Linked DNA regions of Caenorhabditis elegans. The protein of the gene in region 1 interacts with the protein of each later gene in a pairwise test. Each region holds a gene or a part of one and is shown in the gene's direction. Other genes may lie near its edges.

Region 1 (3,832 bases):
TATTGATGATTTGGATGATGAATTCTCTGACTGTGTGATCAATGTTGGAGGGAAAAACTATTCTGTAAAAAGACAATAGACTGCATTTTTCATTCTAATTCATTTTTATCACTGTGATATGAAACTTCTCTATTTTCAACCTAAAATGAACGTTAGTTTTGCACTCTCTACATAAATCAATTAAACCTTACCTATCTTGAGCAATGGTTGAATGTAAAGAAATTGAAAAAAAAAGAGAAAAAGCAGAACCTAAATTTGGTCACACATTTCTTGTTTTCCCATTTGGAACCAAAAATATGTATTCATAATGTTTAATATATTTATCTCAAACATGTCACAGTTAATAAAAAGGCTCATACAGTTGACGGAATTCCTGGGATTGCCTTTCTAACTGCAGCTCCGACTTCTTCAACTATTCCTGGAATTCTAGCTGGTTCATCGCCCACGACTTTCCGAATTGCCGGAATTGCTTTTCTTACTCCTGCTCCTACTTCTTCAAACATTCCTGAATCATCCGTCTCTCCTGGAATTGTTCCTCCAAACCCTCCAATAACTCCCGGAATTGGTGGGAAATCGATATCTGAAAAAAAACATTTGGAGAAAGGCCTAAAATGGGAAAACTTACAGCAGCTGGAGCACATGCGATGAGGACAAGAATGTAGATGATGAAGTTCATGTTGAATGAATTGTGAATTTATCCCTGTTACAGGAGCCTGTTTTTATATGGAGCACTGACAATAGAGCTGTGTCTAATAAAGACATGTTATTCAGGATTTTCAGACAATCCCATTGTATTATCTGTTTTTGAAAGCTGAGTCGGTGAAAATTTTTATAAATTTCAGTGCTGAAATTTTCCGTTTTTATAAATATTGTGAAAATCAACTGTAATGTTAACCATGGAATATTGACTCGTTCTTCCATGTCGGTGGGGTAGTCCTCTCTATCCACAAATCTTAGGATATTTTTAACAGTTTCATAGTTTGGTCAATTTTTTCAAAAGAAAGTTGATATCAAGATATTATAGAAAAAATTGTTGAAATAAGCCATTCAAACTGTAATGAATAGACATTTTAAACGTAGCAACACTATTAGGAAACGACTATAAGTATACTCTTATCAGTGATTTTTTATAAAGGTTTTGAAGGTATGAGGAATTTTTTGTAATTTTTGAGTTCAGGAATCGGCGTCAGCCGGTTTTCTTGGAGTGAAAAATCTTAATGGAACAAGTAATTCTGAAAATTTCCTAACAGATTCCTCATTTTTTCTCCATCAAACTGGCATATTTGCACAATCTAAGAAAGAGTTTTAAATTATAAAACAACTACATTTATAGCGCCATACTGATTTTCTGAAAGTGTTTTTTCATTTGTTTGAAAATTATTTGTTCCAAAAATTATATGTTTTAGTTCTGAACTTTCATGCAACTAAACAAAATTTCTCATTGTATTTTGCAAAATTGACATTTTTACATTAAACTGTCAATTGCACCATATTAGGAATTTTTTTTTCATTGATAAGAACTCATTTTTAAATCGTCCCCTTGCATATGTTTCTTCAGACCTATCGAATTGCTCCGTCTCCTTTTTTTTTTGCTCTCTTTGAGTATTGATTTTTATAATTAAATTTGTTTTGTTATTTTCACATGTGTGTATTTTTTTTCATATTACAGAGAACGTACGTTCATACGTTTACTGTAATATGAAAAAGTTTTCAGAACAATGTCTAAATTGTGCAAAGAGTTCAGCTTAAGCGCGACTGTCAAAAATATTTCACGATTTGTGGATGAAGAGATATACTACACTGACACAGAAGAACGATTCAATATTCCATGGTTTTGTTTGATAAACGTTTTAAGAAATAATGGTGAACGTGCTTTAGGAGAATGTGCATCGCTAAGTGTGACGATGAATTTAGTCTTGGATTGAAATGTGAAAAAAACAATTGGGACAACAGAGAATGGTCGATTGAAACTGATTGGACGATGAAATTAGTATCACACAACGGGAAAAGTTTGATGGAAAGCAAAAAGTTCACTTTCAATAATTCAAATATATTCGATGGTGGTCTGAACACTAGTTGGGATTTATTGGAAAGTGATTATGTAGTTGATGATAGTGTTGTAGTTGAAGCTCATGTCAAAATAATTAAAATAACTGGTGAGTTCGACTTTCATTTTTTACGAAAAAACTTGGTTACTTGCTCTGAAGCTTGAAAAAATGTTTTCAAAATTTTAGACTGGTGAGTGTCTATGACCTTTGGAATACAAGTATTTTTTAGTAGCACTATAAGTATTTATCATATATTAAGAAAGACGCAGACATATTTTTAGACTGTAAATGATTATTATATTTCTGTCTATAACACTTTTTACAGACTTACCATGCGACGAAGACGAGGATTCAAAAACGTTTCTTTTAAGCAGTACTGTTAGAAATATTTCAAGCATTGAAGAAGGAGACGACTATTACACTGAAACAACGATACGTCACAATATTCCATGGTTTTTTATTGAATAATATGTACATTAGTTCAAACTATATTCAATTTAAGGAGAATGCAAATTAAAAGAGATGATGGATTTTTTGGATTATTTTTGAGATGTGAAAAAGAGGATTGTGAGGATCCTGGAAAATCTTGGAGTATCGAATTAGATTATGAACTAAGATTGGTGTCTTTGAATGGACAGAGCTTGACTTTTAGTGATTCAGACTTGTTTATTTATCCATCGGGTGAAGGTTTTCAAAAATTCATGAGATGGGATGACATGGAAGAGAAGTATATGGTGAATGGTAGTATCATTATTGAAGCTCGTGGAAAAATCACTAGTCTTGAAGAAAGTGACGACGAATCCAGCAGTGAGAATGAAGAAGACGATTCGAGCGAATCCCATTCAGAAAATGATTCGAGTAGTGATAATTTAGAAGATGAATTCTCTGAGTGTGTGATCAATGTCGGAGGGCAAAATTACACTGTGAAGAAACAATAAATTATCAATTTTCATTAAATTGCTTCCGTCGACTATTACTGTCTGTGCTCTTTTCTAAGTATCAATTTTCCAATATCATTATTCGATGGAAATAAAGATTTTTATAAGAGTTGAAAAAGGGAAATTAGCGTTGAAATCAATATGAACCTACGTATAGCACTAAATAATGAGCACTTTTCACATGACATGAACAATCTAACTATAAGGAAGAACTTCTACCGATAAAGAACTATACGCTCGATTTTCAATTTCCTCTCAGAGGCTTTCTATGACTGATTGTGAGGAGGTTTCCTGTTATAATTAAAGCGGTTTTGAACAATTTTCTAGTACTTGAGCTTCACCCATCATTCACTTTTCATTCGACTTGGCTCCAAGAAATTTTTTTTTTCCATGAAAAGTTATATTGCTACTTTCAATTTCAACTTCCTTATTGGTACACTTGTTCACTGATAAGATGCATGTTCTGTGAGTCTTCTTTGGTGTCAATTTTTCTGCCCTGCACATTCAGCTTATACTCTGCTCTCTGTCAATACTATCATGACTGTGGTTCTGGATTCTATTAAAAAATTTCAGAACAATCTTAGATGTTGAATCCTTGTATTAAATATTGCATTGTAAACATAATTCCTCACTATTTTTTGCAAAATTGGCATTTTTACATTAAACTGTCACTTTCTCCATATTAGGAATAATTTATTTCACTGATAAGGACACCTTTTTGAACCATCACCTTGCATATGTTTCTTCAGGCATATCTGTCTTTTTTTTTGGTCTAATTTAATTTTTGATTTTTCTAAAATTAACTTATTTTATTCTTTCCCAGACGTTCACTGTAATATGGTAACA
Region 2 (7,856 bases), 9.3 Mb from region 1:
TTCTCAATTCCAATTTCCTTGATAACCAAGAATCTGTCAACCAAATCTTGAGATCTTTTGGTGTTGCCGACTTTGATTTTCTTATACATATATAGCTTTTTAGCAAATTGACTTCTTGGCTTTTTAAATATTTCAGCTCAAATTGTACATTTATATAATTGTCACATAAACTGGTTTCAAAAAGCTATAAGACTAGGAGTTTGATAAACCTTATTTACACATTCCGAACTTGTCAAGTTGGAACGAGTGAGTAAGTGTATGGCATTTCATCAAGAAGCTTTTTTTTCCCTAATGGCGTGGGTGGATGTGTTTTCTGACTAGAGGTTTTTAAAAAATAAGAGAACAACTTTTGATATTTATTCTAGACACTAACTGTGTTGTTTTTTTAAAATGCATGTGTAGTCAAACATTTTAGAGGTTTATCCATGCGACATTTTTTAAATTTCTGAAAAACCACAGTTTCCAAATTTTGGTAATTTGCCAAAACTTTGTTCAACAAACTAGATACAATTTATAGAATTATAATATGATAGATTGTAATTTCTTCGATTATTTCATAAACATAAATAATTAAAATCGCAAGAGCATAATTTTTTACATGTGAAAAAATTTTATTTGATATTCTTGCTTGTGATTTTTAGTGCCCTCAATTTTTTCGACCACATTTTTTTTCGGGCAATAGGTTTTTGTAATTTTTTTCTTCACTTTTATACTTTTTTGCATTTTTTTGCAATTAACCTTATAGTATCAAACATAAATAACAGTTGTTAAAAATCAATTTTTCCATTTTTCAAATATTATAATACCTTTAATTTTTTATTTTCTTGTAAGCCCTGCTGGTTCTGTCAAACTTCAAATTTCAATCAAAAATTTTCCAATTCTCAAATGTGCGTGGGTTGTTGATGACAGAAGTTCTATGTCAGTCCACAAATCTAGTATGCAAAGAGTGCCAAATGCCAGAAATACATACATACAAATCACCAACCTTATCGGTTTAACATATCACCTGTCTAGGGCATATATAGGTTGAGGGCTTATTGAAATTCGGCGGCTATGCTATTTGAGTCGATTCGTAAATTTGAGTAGTTTTGAAATTATTTTAAACTACAAATTTCTCGAAACTTCAGCTCTAGATTTTGATCATCATCATTGTTTCCTTCTTTTCTTCTTTTTTTTAAGTTCAAAATGTCTCTCCTTGAGTTTTGGTAATTTGTGAAGTTATATCGATTACCATGGCTGCATCTACATACGTCATAAAATCATGCCAAAACACTTCCATTTTTTGATGATACTTCTTCCTTCTTTTCTGCTTTTCAACTCCTCGTGCCTATCCTCCACGCGTGTGCCCATTGCTCCTCATTGCCGCGCTTTTTGCTCAATTTCCCACTGGGACCATGGGGTCGAGTCCGAGTCGACATAAATCTCGAAGAGTGCTGTTTGCACTACATAGTCTCTTTTTTTGTTGCTCCTCCACACACTCCTTTTCACCCTATTCGTCCCAAGAAGTACTCAATCTGATTAGAAAAAAGCCGGGTGAGAGCAAGCTGGAAATAGAGGCACACACGTGAAGGAAATCAGGAGGAGGATATGGCTGAAGAAAAGAAGGAAACAATGATCAGTACGCTACTCGAGAAGCACTATTTCCAGGTCAGATCCCAAGAGGAACGTTCATCAAATGAGCAAAAAGGGCATTCTTTCCTGTTTCTCGTTCCAACCAATTTTTCATTCATTCTCGTGCATATTTTGTCTGTGAAAATTTTCGTTTTATTTCACACTATGTGAACTCAATTTTATTCGCAAAACTGCAAAACAAATCCGGTTTCTAATACTTGAAAAATCAAATTTTTAGTTCACTGTATTTTTCCGATTTGTCTTGTACCCTCACTTTTCGTTTTTGAGTGCTCATATCCTAGTTGCTATTGGTTTAATTTGAAAAGCAGATAATCAACTATAGTTAACTACGAAAGACTTCCTCAAATGTTTTAAAATCAATTTTTGGAATTGTCTGAAATTTGAGAAAATTAATTAGTCTCAAATTGCACACAAATAGAAGATTCTGATAAATCACTATTATATAATTTTTTAAAGCTTTGGAGCAAAAGCCATTCAAATTTCAACTTTCTAAAATATTTTTAGATTCGATACTGTATGGAATTTTTTCTTTTGAACTTTTACACTTTTACAATAATTCTAATCCAGTTCAAACTTAGTTAATTAATTGAAAAAATCGCCTAATTTTTTTCAAGTTTTGGAACAAATTTTGATAAATTTTGACTGATTTTGATTGGCTTTCTTCAGAGAAAATTAAGGGAAATCTACTCAAAGAGTTGATCTTCATTTAAGTAATTTAGAACAGAATAACAATTTTCAAAATAAAAAAAAAGTTCGAATGTTCGAAAGTTTCGAATTTAGTTCGAATTTTTAAACTTTCCCCCAAAAAGGGCTTACGTCGGTTTTTTCTTAATTTTTGAAAACTATGGAATAAAATAATATTTTCTAACAATCACTTGTTCCATCCCATCTTCCAAAAAAACATTTTTTCTTCCACTGTGCTCATTGACAATGAGTAATCACTATATGTTTACTGTGTTCATTATAAAATTCATTCATTCTTCGTCTTCATCTTATTTTTCGTCACACACATATACATGCTCTTCGGGTCTTTACAAATTGTATTCGACTCTATCTTTCTCTCTTTCAATTCTTCTATTTTTTTGTCGACTGGTTTTCCATCTCATCCTGACCGGGACATGTCTCATGAGATTTATCGCGTTGCCATGGATTTAGCTCTCTTTGCTTATTACATTTTCTATCGCAAAAACGAGAGAGAGAGAGAGAGAGAATGGGAGGAGGAGTCTGGTATGCATCCGGAAAATTTGATGTTTCCAGTTTTGAGCACCGACGTTGCGATTTTGTTGCATTTTTGAAAATTTCTTGTAAAATCGGAAAGACTTCCGAAATCGCAAAATCCAATAGCAACATAAATACTAGCGCACATTTTCTTAGAAGACCCAAGATTTCCCTTCAAAATAAAAGAGAAATCCCAGAAGAAAATTTTTAAAATAGTACAGTTACAGAATCCCAGAAACAAAATAATTGCCAGGAAAATACTAAAATATTTTCGGCGGACTTGATGCTTGCAAATTGATAAACTCATTGGTATTAGTTTCCAGATTGTAAACCGTGAAACTTTAAACTTTTTGTGTAGAAGTTCACAAAGGTCCTTGAGACCGATATTCAAACCAGGTAAACGATTTTTTTTTCGCAAATCGGCAAATCGGCCAATTGCCGGAATTGAACATTTCCAGCAAAGCAAACGGGCAAATTGTCGAACTGCCAAATTTGTCGACAAAAAAGTTTGCCAAACGTCTATTGCCGCCCACCCCTGCTTCAATCCCCATTTTTCTTTTCTGACCAGGCAAGTAGCAGAAGCCGACCGGTGCCTCAACACCTTTGAATCCGTTGAAACTCGTAATTCTAAAAAAAAAAGAAATTTTTAAAATGATTCCAAATATTATAGTTTTGTTACACAATGAATCAAGTCCCTGCAATTTCTGAAAACAAGTGATTTTACCCGTAAATACCCGCCATTTGATAGTATCATGTAATCACTATAGAATAATCCGATAGATCTCTACCCATATATCCAGCTAATCTCCTTTATCCCAAAAACCCTTTTCTTCCACTTTTGTCAACCTTCTCTCTCGATCCACTCAAAGTAGTCGTTCTCCAGTATCATGTTACACAAGAAGCTGTCGTCGAGAGCTGTGCTGCTGCTCCAAAAAGTTTCGACTTCATTTCACACATTTTGCCCAGGCTCTCCAACGCCTTCTGCCCTTTTTACCTGCTTCATTAATTGCCGGAAATAGTGTGCAAAAAGGCGGAGAGGGGGCTCTCAAACACCCAACAAGAGATATTGTGTTGCTTTCTCTTCTTTACGCCTTCTTCTTCTTTTCCATCTCATTCTATTGCTTTTTCGTTCCTCATTCATATGTACGTGTATATCCGCTCTGTCTCTATATATCTTGACCTAGCTATTTCCGTTTTTTTCCCTGACACTTTTTTTGGTAAATGAGCATTGGACCGAAGAAATTTGGATTCAAATTCCAAGAGTTACCATTTCGCCTTTTGGTGAACCTCATGAGTTTCAGTTTTCAGTTTTGAACAGCCCAAAAAAACCAGAAAGTTCTAGGAGTTACTGTATAGCTGCTACTCAAATACAATTCAATTTTTCTTTAATTTTCCAATAATTTTTCCTCTCCCTATTTATCATTCTATTGACCTTCTATTCTGCATCCACCCTCACTGCCCGCAATTACAGAATCTTCAATTTATTTTTTTCGCGTTGCTCTTTTTTTCGGAGCATTGCAATTTCCTATCGGCGCGCATCTATAATTCACGTCACCATAAACAAAGATGCACTTTTTTCCAAGTTTTCTATCGTTTTCAATCAAGTAGGAAATTGGGACTTCAGAACGAAGTCTGTCTTATTTGGAAATTTTTGTATTCAATGGTTTAACACAAGTATTTAAGCTCTACCTCCTGAAAATTCAGTCTGAAATAACTTCAGTGCATTTTTTCTCAGGATTCGAATACAGCAGGTTCGTTCCAAAATCAGCATATTTTTGGTGAACTGGAAAATGTTAAGAAATATTTATTTATACCATTTAAAACATGTCTAAAATCAAATCTCAATTCCATAACAATCCTGAAGGTAAACCTTCACTTTTTGTCACCTGATAATAATTTCTCCCTTCTCTGGGAAAGCGTCTCGGAAATTTATTAAAATTCGTTTTGTGAATTTTTGATTTCTCTTGAGAAAAATTGGAGTTTCTGATTCAGCCTGTCTTGTGATATTTGGATATTTGATGAAGGGAATATTGTTCGTAGGTAGGCTGTGACTGAGCACGAGGACATTTTTTTCTGATTTTGTAGTGTTTTGACAGAATTTTATAGTGAGTTATGCAAAAAAAGATTATCAAAAATCCAAAATATGATTTTTTGCGGAATGCTTACTGCTTACAGGGGCCAATTTTTATTGAAGTTTTGCAAATTATTTAAATGAGTATAATTTAAAAACCAAGAGCAAAGCAACAAGAATATTGCCATAATTCTGCGGCCGACATCTTAGAGACCCTTATTTGTTTCAGAAGCTGGCTTCCAAAATTTTGATAATAAATTAATCTTCAAGTTATTGTATTTTCTCAGGAATATTCCTAAAAATAATTTAATAATTACAGAATTTTTGTTGGTAACCTTTGTCCAAGTTTCCTATTTTTTGAAATGTGTAGAAACATCTAAAGTGCCAGTCACAATGATGGGACATGAACAGATTCTAAATATTTTTTAAAATATTTTTTCCCGCGGCTAAGTATGTAATGTGGGATTATATCTCTATCTTTTTGTTTAGTTCTTCTTTCTTTTTCCTTTTTTTTCCTCCCATTCGTCCACATCTCCGACAGATACAATTCCAGAAGATTAGAGGAGAAAGAGAGATGAGGCATCAGAAGAACAATTCTTATTCTTCTAGCAAACTAGGACAGAGAGAGAGAGAGAAAGGTAGAGAAAGGAGAAGAAGCTCAAAGTTTTTTATGGCTCTTCTTCTCCGATTAGAGAGTACTCAGCACCAGATACCGTGACTCTCATTTCCATTTCCGATTCGACTTTACGATGCTCCGTGCACCACAGAAAACCTTTTCTTCTTCTTATTCTTCACTTTTTACGTCTTCTCTGAAGAAATTTCTAGATCTTATGCGTGCCATAATACCATTAATCTTCTTTTTTTTTCTCACAATTTCCAGTTTTTTTTCAAAAACAAATTGTCAAAACACATTTTTTTCATATGACCTGATAAATATAATTAATTATCGTTGAAAATTCAAATTCAAATTATTTCATTTTCCTGAGGCTTCAATGTAGGCACCGAAACCTACCTGCCTGTCTGGCCTTAAGGGGACCTACGCCTGCCTTGCGTCTCAACCGCGAGAGTGGCAGGTTTCAGGCAGGCGCCAGGCCCTGAAACTGTGCTTACCATCGAAATCCTAACAAAAAAACCTGTTTTAACCTAAAACGAAAACATTGAATATTTTGAACATACCTGAACCATGCTTAATTCCTAGTGCGAGTTACTTTTTTCCTGAATGAAATTATTTTTGGTTTGTGCCCAAAAAGTGTTAATTTTCTAATTTTTAATAAAAATACTTCCAGGTTGAGGAGCAGAAATCCGGCATGGACTACATATCCAGTTTCGACATTAGGCTCAATAAGGTTTGTCGCGCGAGAAAAAGTCCAAACAGCTGGAAAACACAAACAACAACAAAAATATTGCCTCCCCACACAACGTATGTATGTATGTATTTCAGGACGTCTACTACGCCGGCGAGACAATCAGTGGAAGTGTGCTGTTGGAGAACACGGAGAACATCAAAATACGTGGTATTCGGGTGTTGCTACGTGGCAAAGTGCATGCCACGTTGAAAGTGGTCAAGTCTGGTGAACGGAGGACGTTGAAAGACGATCAATATGTGCTGGATGAGAAACAGTTGCTATGGGGGAAAGGTGAGTGATAATGGACACTTCAACTTTGGCAGCCTATACATATGCCAGTTGTCGTTCGACCTATACAAAAATTGTCAACTAACTAAATATTTGTTTTTCCTCCTTCTATCGTTTTGTAGTTGATAACTTATTGATATCTCAAAAATAAGCCCAGATGTATCCTTTCAAAGTGAAGTAGTGAAAAAGTACTTGAAAGGTTGTTTCAGATTACGTGACCAAATTTGTGAAAATCTGTAAAATTTATCTTGTTCATGAAAATTAATTTAAATCTGAATTCAAAATAATTATTGATTTTCTAGACGTTTCTTTTAACGTACACCAGAATTTCCAGATAAAAGCGATGAATCAGACAGTGTCCCAATTCTTGCTCGCGGAGTTCATCAGTTTTCCTTCAACTTTGACCTCCCACAATCTTCATTACCGTGTTCATTGGAGAGTAGGCATTGTACAATTCGATATTATTTCAAGGTATTACATACATATTTCAGAAGTAGAATCAGTACAGTTAATTTTAAAATTCCAGGTAATAATTGACATTCCATATGCATCATCTCCTCAGGGAATCAAATATTTTACGATAATCGGTCCACATATCGACAGTATGGAAGAGAAATATTTAAGCCCATTATCAGCTCAAGATCGAAAAGTGAACTGTTGCTGGTGTTGCCAGCGGGGCGCGCTCGCACTGCGAATAATTCTGGAGCGGACGGCGTACGTGTGCGGCGAGAACATTCGTGTCCGAGCCCAGATTGAGAACAGGCAATCCACGGCGCAAAGCCTCGTTATCCGTCTTGTGCAGCACGTCGAGGTGTTTGTCGAAAAGGGACTTTTGGGCGAGAACAAGATGATGTCATGTGTGGTGTTCGAGCACAAGTGAGTGAGCCGGTTTTAGAAATGTCATTTGCAGAGTCGTGCAGAGATTTTAATGTACATATACAATTTTAAGAATCTAAAATTTTTCATATTCTCAATTGAAGCTTAAAAAGAAAACATGTCATATTTTGTATATCTAGGTTTTTTTTGGTTTTGCAAAAAACTATCAAATGGCAAAATAAGTGCAAAATATTTTTTCAAATTTTTAGATTGAAGAATTTTCTGATAGAACTTAATACAATCGAAATATAAGCTGTCAAAGTAAAGCATGCATCAGTATGAGAAAAAGATTGTCCCTGAAAAAGATTGAACGTTTTCCAGGTCCCCCGCCATCGCTGCCAACTCTCAAGGAAAGTACGATTCGACGCTGGAGCAGCCGATCCGATTGCCAGTGGTACCACCAACGCTAGTCGGTGTTTGCCGTC

What was found.
Region 2: the proteins of math-14 (region 1) and arrd-6 interact in a two-hybrid assay, tested with the Caenorhabditis elegans proteins (one large-scale study listed by BioGRID).

The regions. Positions count from the first base shown.
Region 1 is NC_003280.10:1,867,705-1,871,536, forward strand, and holds math-14 (MATH domain-containing protein), read left to right. Parts: upstream 1-1,715; 5' UTR 1,716-1,718; coding exon 1,719-1,831; intron 1,832-1,878; coding exon 1,879-2,156; intron 2,157-2,373; coding exon 2,374-2,500; intron 2,501-2,550; coding exon 2,551-2,986; 3' UTR 2,987-3,101; downstream 3,102-3,832. Other genes in the region: math-15 (MATH domain-containing protein), read left to right, coding at 1-79.
Region 2 is NC_003280.10:11,141,310-11,149,165, forward strand, and holds the start of arrd-6 (Arrestin C-terminal-like domain-containing protein), read left to right. Parts: upstream 1-1,587; coding exon 1,588-1,647; intron 1,648-4,533; exon of another isoform or gene 4,534-4,601; intron 4,602-5,884; exon of another isoform or gene 5,885-6,109; intron 6,110-6,207; coding exon 6,208-6,267; intron 6,268-6,362; coding exon 6,363-6,558; intron 6,559-6,889; coding exon 6,890-7,026; intron 7,027-7,081; coding exon 7,082-7,431; intron 7,432-7,752; coding exon 7,753-7,856.